Oryzias latipes: one gene and its partner. The protein of the gene in region 2 interacts with the protein of the main gene of each other region in a pairwise test. Links are inferred from orthologs where the notes say so. Each region holds a gene or a part of one and is shown on either strand. Other genes may lie near its edges. The genes, in order: id2 and myod1.

The links.
Region 1: the proteins of myod1 (region 2) and id2 interact in a two-hybrid assay, tested with the Homo sapiens proteins (2 studies listed by BioGRID). The link is inferred for Oryzias latipes from reciprocal best matches to the Homo sapiens genes MYOD1 and ID2.

What each region holds. Positions count from the first base shown.
Region 1 is NC_019880.2:11,295,766-11,299,850, reverse strand, and holds id2 (DNA-binding protein inhibitor ID-2), read right to left. Parts: upstream 2,841-4,085; 5' UTR 2,734-2,840; coding exon 2,377-2,733; intron 2,232-2,376; coding exon 2,175-2,231; 3' UTR 2,171-2,174; intron 1,530-2,170; 3' UTR 774-1,529; downstream 1-773. UniProt on the Homo sapiens protein: Transcriptional regulator (lacking a basic DNA binding domain) which negatively regulates the basic helix-loop-helix (bHLH) transcription factors by forming heterodimers and inhibiting their DNA binding and transcriptional activity.
Region 2 is NC_019864.2:6,432,529-6,436,948, reverse strand, and holds the start of myod1 (myoblast determination protein 1), read left to right. Parts: upstream 1-1,399; 5' UTR 1,400-1,602; coding exon 1,603-2,190; intron 2,191-2,874; coding exon 2,875-2,956; intron 2,957-4,158; coding exon 4,159-4,382; 3' UTR 4,383-4,420. UniProt on the Homo sapiens protein: Acts as a transcriptional activator that promotes transcription of muscle-specific target genes and plays a role in muscle differentiation. Together with MYF5 and MYOG, co-occupies muscle-specific gene promoter core region during myogenesis.

The DNA of each region.
Region 1 (4,085 bases), on a different chromosome or scaffold from region 2:
TCCCTCCAGTCAGAACGTTTCGTGAAAGAAAACCAGAAAAAGCTTTTGTGTTTTGACAGTTTGGTGGCTCTCTCAACCGTTTCCTGGTAGAATGTTACAGTTCTAGAGTCAAATGTGTTTGTAGGTAGTTTAAAAAAATAAAAGTAAGAAGCCTTGCAGTGTTACTGAAGCATTTCACTCGTGACGTAGATTGTGTTGTTTTTTTATTGTAAAACCATTTCGTCTTTGCATGCAGCAAATAAACATTCAATTCTTAAAAACATGTTTTGGTTTTGAAATTTCTCGCCTTTCAGCCTCAACTAAAAAAAGAAAAAAAAACATTGATCTTGAATGTAAAACACTAATTTAATGTAATTTCAGGGTAAAAGGGAGAATGAGAAAAGTACCACTGCAGGACTCTTGTGGTCCGACAGATGGCGCAATTTCTATACAAACCTGCTGCGGTTTGGCGTGAACGCAGTCAACTTTAAAGTAGATGTACAGGAATGTCAATGTTTTCTGGACATTGACTTTTTTTGGACAACATTTGGTTCAAATATCCAACATTTCTGCTTTTTTGTAGAATTATTTTTACACTGAGGAAAATTTAGTTTATCAAAATGGATTTGATGGGATGAAAAGATGATCTGACAGATTCCTGAGTTTAAAAAAAGATAGCATTTACGGTTTGATTAATTCACCAAAATAAAAGCGCCTCATTTTTTAGATTTTTTTTTAAACAAGAATGTCTGCACTTTTTTCAGATCTGAATGCAATGAAAAAGCCAAGAAAAATCAAGTTGCACTTTGATTTATTTTTTATATTTAAAAAAAGGTACAATTTACATTACTTTTATAAAAAGTTTCAGCATAATTAAGTACAGCAATACACTTTTGCAGAAGTTTCAAATTCCTGCAACTATACAACTCCTGGTGAGAGTTCACAAGATTTTTCTCTTTTTTTTTAAATCAAGTTTTTTGTTTTTTCTTAAACATTGTCCAGTCCTTCGTGTGCCAACATTTCTGACAAGACAAGACTAAACTTTAAACATTTTTTTCTTTGAACAGTAACTAACCAAACTGCTTGTTTCTGTACAAGTTCCCACCTCCGCAGAAAAAGCGAAGAGATCAACAAGGAGAGAAAGGAGGGAGGGGGGGGGGGTCACGGGGAGGTGAGGAAGAAGAGGGGAGGTGGTAATCCTTGTGACAATCCCCCCCCCCCCTTCTTTCTTCCTCTTTCCCCCCTTTTTTCCTCCCGTTGTCGGGAACATATCGCGCCTTCCTTCCATTTCCAGAAAGGACCCACAAATAAAAAAAAAAAGTCTTAAGTTAAATAATAATGAAAGTGTCACATCACAGGAGATTGTCCTTTTTTTTCTTTTCTTTTTGAAGTAAGAGTCTTGATTTCAGGGGGGATAATGAAAAGAAAAAAAACATCCAGGCCTGAGGAACTGCAGTTGGATGGTGTTGGATGGGTTGCTCCTCAGGTCCTGGTGTGGGTTTTTTTTTCTTTTTTTCTTTTTTTTTTTTTTTTGCGTCTTGACCAAACACCTGCAAGAGATTGAGAAGGAGGAGAGGCGTGTTTAGAAAACGCAAACAGGGCAGAGATCCGGACAGTCTGGCGCCAGGGAGGAAGCCGCAGTTTTTTAACATTTAACCAAACACTCCCAATACTAAGCAAACTCTGCGCTCCAGATGTACGCGCACGCACAAGCGCTCACGACAAGGAGAGGGGGAGGAGGAGGGAGGGAGGGAAGGGGGAAGGCGCGCGCACATTTTTCGCACAACTTCAGCCTACAATCTGGGGAAGAATCAGCGTAATTGCCGCTCAGCTGGCGCCTACCCACTTCTTGTACCAATTATGTGCAGACATCGTAGTAGCAGTAATCCAAACAGCCATTATTTTTCCTGTTGCAGATGCTCTTCATTACAGGCACAAGTGGGGATAATAGAACCCTGACGGCTACTTCTTCCATACGCTGGAAATGCTTCTAATTTGTTTTTATTTGGCACCGATGACGCGCGTTTTTATTCATTTTTAGAATCCCGTTTCCAATGGCTGTCGGGGGAGTGACGCATTCCCCCGCGACAGCCGATTTTGCTGCGGGAGCGTGGAAAGCCCTGGCCAGAGAATGCAGCAGACAGACAGACAGACAGACAGACAGACAGACAGGAGGGACAGCCCCACTTACCGCCTTAACGATGCAGAGTCCGGCTGTCATCTGTCATCAGCTCTGATGGCAACTCCGGGGACTGCAAACAAACAAACGCGGAGCCAAAGCGTCAAAACGCGTCTCATGGTTTCATTTCCCAACAATAGGAATGAGAAGGGGGGGGGGGGCGCATCCCCCTACCCAAAAAAACAAACCAAAAACAACAACAAAAGCAGTGTAATTACCTGTAATGACAAGATGCTGATGTCTGTGTTGAGGGTGGTCAGGGGGGGCCTGGATGCGCCGGTCTGCCCCGGCCGCGCGGGGTGATGCAGGCTGCTCAGTGCGACGCTGGAGTCCAGCGCGATCTGCAGGTCCAGGATGTAGTCGATGACATGCTGCAGGATTTCCATCTTGCTGACGTTCTTGTTCTGCGGGATGCTCGGCACCAGCTCCTTCAGCTTGGAGTAGCAGTCGTTCATGTTGTACAGCAGGCTGAGCGGGTCGTCCACCGGGGTCTTGCTCCGCGAGATTCCCAACGAGTGCTCCGTTAAATTCACGGCGTTTTTCCGGAAGGACCGAACGGGGCTTATTGCTTTCATTCTCGAAGTTTTCTTCTTCTTCTGTTTTCTCTTCTATGTTTGTTTGGTTTTAGTCCCGTTTTCTCAGCCGATCTGCGCTCAGACTGGAATACAGAGCTGTCACAAGCCTTTAAATAGGCAGCAGGGCAGTGTGTGCCGAGTGGGCGGGCCGAGCGCGCGGGTTGGACAGCGCCCTTGTGTCACTCAACGCCTTCCCGGCGCTCCCATTGGCTGCTGAAATCCCCGCCCCTTCTGTAAAACGTTACCAGTGGCAACGCGGGGCCGGAGGCGGAACTTCTCATCTCCGGTGGGCAATTTGGGAAAATTAAGCCCTTACCTGTTTCTGATCAAGAAAATGAATGATTCAAACGTAAACTGGATGATAAAAGCAGCGTTTTCATACTTCTAAAATCAAATTATTAATAAATTAGGATGGAAAATTGAGAAGAAGTGTAGCGGCTTTTTGAAATATTTGACAGTTTGGGACCTAAATGTTCAAAAATCTGATGTGATGGCACAGACTCGGCATTTATGGAACTGAATTTTACTAAAAATGTTTGTTAATTAAACCTATTAACCGTAAACACAACTTTCTATGATGATTAAAGCCAAATCTTAATGTTTATAATTTTTATTTTTTAGGGATAATAGCCAGAGGAATCTGGGTTAATCCACTTCTATATGCTAGAATTTTTAGTTTTTGCATGATTTCTTTGAGGGGGGGGGGGGGGGGTGTTAAATAGCCTTTTGTTTTTGTAGTGATCTTAATCTGCACTTGAGGTGAGTGAGGGAGTCCTGAAGAGGTGATTAACTGTAATTGAATGCTTTCAGATGTTCTTTTCTTCCCCTTCAGATGGAGTTTCGATGCGGATAAAGTTTGGTCCAGGTGACATATTTTAGGTTTAATTTGAAAGTTTATTTTAAAAAAAAGATGACAGGAGATTGACTTTTATTTTGAAATATAACTGATGTTTATTAAATACACAAAAGACCAAACTCCAGCGGCGCATCATGTTTTTCTGCATCATCCACGGGTCCACATCTGCTGAAATGCACATTTCCCATTATCCCCTCCTTCCCCCGTCGCTCCTGCAGCTGTGCACCTCTGCTCACGCGCTCTTGACTGAAGCCTGACAGACAGGTGATGGATCGGCGCAAGAGCACGTCGGTGCAAAAAAAGCCGCGCCCTGCGTCCTCCTCTGCTCTCCTCTTCCTCTCCTCTCTCCTCTCTCTCCCTCCGGAGCAGACTCTCTGGCGCCGGCCACGTGACGTCACCCTATTCACAGCAGCCCTCGAGCCGAGCCCTCGCGGCGCCGCTGAGGCGGTTTCCATGGACACGGGCTTTCAAAGGATGTCGGTCGGAGGTTCTCAGC
Region 2 (4,420 bases):
CAGAGCTAGAAAGTTCTCTTATGTTTTACCCTAAATGTAAGGATTTAAAAAATAAAATACAACCGTTGTTATTCGCCAGGGGCCTCCGAACTCTAAAGTCCGCCACTGACGACAACATTTACCCTGAGACGCAATGCGAATGTGTGGGGGGGATCAACACCACAATGTGTCTCTTGGCCGCACATATTAAGTGTTTTTCTGTCTGGTCCTACGTAAATATGTGCAAATAACAAAAAGAAAAGTAGATTTTGAAAATTATTAAGATCATTTCTGAGTAGAATTGATGTGAATACATGAAAACCAAAGCACAGAGACACTCAGTTAGCATTATTTTCACAACTATTGTTGTAGTTTAGAATAAATACCGACTTTTTGAATATGGGAAAGCAAAACCTTTTTTTCATGCCATTTTTCTCCATTAAAACAACAACTTTGTGGTGTTTTTTAAAAAAAAAAGAGACTTCATTTGTTTTTCAAAATAGCTCTAAAAACAACCAAAGCTCGTCTTGCATTGCCAGCTTTTCACACATTTCTTGCTGCTCATTAAATGTTCTGCTGACAGTCTTTTCTTTCAGTGCAAACATTTCATTTGTCTCTGACATTCTGAATTGCCTCATTTTTCCTACTTACAATGAAAACAAAAAAAAGAGTGGTGTGTGCGCATGTGAAGGTGCGTTCCAGAGCGCGCTCCACGCAGTTTCATGAACACTCATTCGGTGTACAGACCGGACGGACCAGCGCCAGACACGCAGGTACCTGCAGGGGCGGTTCTTCTTTTCATCAGCGCTCCTCCGCCACCTACAATATATTTATTGTAATTAAATCAACTTATTGGAAGAGGTTCGATCTGCAAAATCAAAGCGGTTCAATTCCCTCAAATCTTGCTCCAGCCTTTTTGTTTTCACAGATCTGTTCCTATAAATGTCCATCTTGGTGTCATTTTATTCCGGCCAAAAACAAACCGCAATTATTCATTTCTCCTTAGTGATCATGTTTACAACGGTTGATAACTGTTTCTTGAAAAGACGCTACAAACACTATCAAATCCTAATTTCTGATTGGTCACAGCGCTGCGTTGCTGAGATTCAGCGTGAAAAAGTTCAACCGGTTGAACTTTCAGCGCGCGACCAACGAACGCTTGATTTGTTTGTAGGCTCCGCACCCAACTTAAAAACCTGCTGGTGATGTGCGACCGCTAGCCTTCCAGACGCCACAGCCCCAAATTCTGGTGTGTGCGCATTCAAAGAGGCGCTTGAACACGGGTGTGTAAGGCGGAAATGCGTGTGCGGCCTTCCTTTAGCTGTTCCGTTAACTGCAGGCCTCTAATTACCGTGCAGTTGTAACCCCTCCACTTACACACACGCACACCCCTGCAGCTGCCCACCGATTGGTCACACTCCTCTGACCCCTTGGCCCCCCTGCCTGCTGCTGATGTGCCAGGTATAAGAGGCTTCAGGTCAGCAGTAGTCCAGTTCAAAACTCCTGACAGGACCCACATTACCGGACCCGCGGATCGCGAGTCTCTCTTCGGTTTGCTGGATAGCTCGGCTCGGCCCGTTGATCTCAGTATTTCTTTTCTGCGGGCCTGTTTTGGACCGGGTCATGGAGCTGTCGGATATTCCTTTCCCCATCCCGGCTGCTGATGATTTCTATGATGACCCCTGTTTTAACACAAGTGACATGCACTTCTTCGAGGACCTAGACCCACGGCTAGTCCATGGCGGTCTGCTGAAGCCGGATGACTCCTCTTCTTCCCCCTCATCCTCTCCTTGCTCGTCCTCCTCCTCCCCGTCCTCCGTCCTCCATGTGCACCAGCGCGCGGAGGTGGAGGACGATGAGCACGTCCGTGCGCCCAGTGGCCACCACCAGGCGGGCCGCTGCCTGCTGTGGGCCTGCAAAGCCTGCAAGCGGAAAACCACCAACGCAGACAGACGCAAGGCAGCGACGCTGCGCGAGCGCCGGCGCCTCAGCAAGGTCAATGACGCCTTCGAAACGCTGAAGCGCTGCACGTCAGCCAACCCCAACCAGAGGCTGCCCAAGGTGGAGATCCTGCGCAACGCCATCAGCTACATCGAGTCCCTGCAGGCGCTGCTGCGCGCCGGCCAGGAGGATGGCTTCTACCCGGTGTTGGAGCACTACAGCGGGGACTCGGACGCGTCCAGCCCCCGCTCCAACTGCTCTGACGGAATGGTGAGTCCGCTGTTCGGACAAGCTGCGAAGGCTGGAGCTACAGCGCGTCTTTACGCATGGAGTCTTGACTTAGTTAGTCGTTTCATGACGGCACAAGTTTTTACAAAACTTCAGTAAAAAAGAAAAGAAAAAGGAAAGGCAACTTTCACCGTTTTAGATTCGATTATACAGGCGCGTTACTCAGTTAATTCAGAGGATTACCAGTTACTACCTCTCCCGAAAATAAGATTTTTAAACGTAAAACCTTTTCTTTTTTTTTTTTAATCGTGAAAATCTTTTTTACGTATTTCTTGAATAGACTGACAGCGTCGTTTGGAGCAGTTCGCTGCTTGAATAAAAATCGGTTATAATTTGCACCAAACATCCGGATTTATTCAAACGAATTTCCTTCATAAAACATACGAGTCCCGTCATTAGGATTTCTATTATTTGACAAATTTCCTTTTATAACGCGTGCGAAACACTCAGGAAGATGAAATAATAATATTGTTGCTGCTGTTTTGTGCTTGTTTGTTCAAAGAAAGCCCATATATATATATATATATATTCCAGTTTAAAAATACACGAGTGTTTACTATCGGAAAATATCCCTTGTGTTGATATTTCAAAAATGTGACATTGTGTAAATTGTGTTTTATTTACTCTTTTGGCGTGCTCTAAAAAAAGCATTGTGTTTTATTCCAGACTGACTTTAATGGACCGAGGTGTCAGACGACGCAAAAGGGGAGTTATGACGGCGGCTCCTACTTCTCCGAGGCTCTGAACGGTGAGCTGCGCGCGGGCCAGAGGGGGCCGCGTCACGCGCCAACATTTTACACAGGAAAGATCCGATTTGCGCTTTAACCAGCCGACAGCATTGCTCATCTGAAATGATAAAGCGTTTGCAATCTAACTAAATCTGTTCATGAAGCCAAAGATGTGCTTTTATTTTTGCTAAATAAATTTAGTTTTCATGAGGTTAAAGAAAACAATGACATTCTCTATAAATTCTATAAATGAGAAAAAGGATATATATATAGATATATATCTATATCTATATTTACAGCTGAGCAAGTATGTCAGAGCTGAAGGCCTCTTGTGTTGGACAAATTTTACTTTTACAACAGGACTTTATGGATCTTTAGACAAACACAATTTATTTAGGGGTTAATATCCTTCAAAGGGTGCATTATTAACGCTTGCCGTGTAAGCCTGCGTTGAACTGCAAAGTGCATTAAAAATATGAACACTTTGAAGTAAATCTACTCACTTATACCATGGTGACTTTCAAAATAAATAAATAGTCAACCAGTACTTTATTCTGGTCATTTTTACGGTTTAGATTGCTTTTTCACAAAAGCGAACTATTTGTCATGCGGTGCAGCCTGTTGTCACAGTAACATGCCACTTAGCCAACCTCGAGTGGTGCGGCAAAGGAAAGTGATATCTATGCTGATGATCACGATGGGTTGAATAAAGCATCAGTTCAGAGAGAAAGTTCTCCTGTCACTGATCATTTTTGTCCAGATGATGAAGCTAAAGATTCTGATACAGAACATTTAAGATATGTGACCGGAACTGCTTTTTAGATGTACATTAACACATTTTTATCCACACCCAGCAGCCAATCAGAATCGAGTATTTCCCTGGACAATGGTATCAATTGGTGTAAACCCCTTATGTATTTGAGGTTAGGCTTTATTCATAATAATTATGTTTATATGCATTCTTTGTTGGACCGGACGGAAAACAAGAAGAGAGAGAGTGGATGTTAGAGATGGGGGGTGGGGGAGCAGTGGATAATACAGAGTCAAGAGTGTCATAAGTAAACTGCATGACTTGGTTCTCACACACACACACACACACCCACACACACACACACCAATAAATAGTCTGCACACAGCTGTTTACAGGTTTTATTCACACATAGAGGAGTGACCTCACAGTCTAGTTTGAATCATGTTTGACTGACGGTGTTTTCTGCCGTAGGAGGCCACAGGAATGACCGCAGCTCCGTCGTCTCCAGTCTGGACTGCCTGTCCAGCATTGTGGAGCGGATCTCCACCGACAGCAGCTGCCTCCCAGCCACGGCCGATGCTCCTGCCTCCCCGGCCGCCGCTGCGCTCAGTGAGACAGAGCGCGGCCCTCGGGCCGCTCCGACCTCTTCTCCGGCCTCCAGCCAAGACCCGAACCTGATCTATCAGGATCTATAGACCCTGACACCCTTGATGAACAGCAATGCTGTGGCACC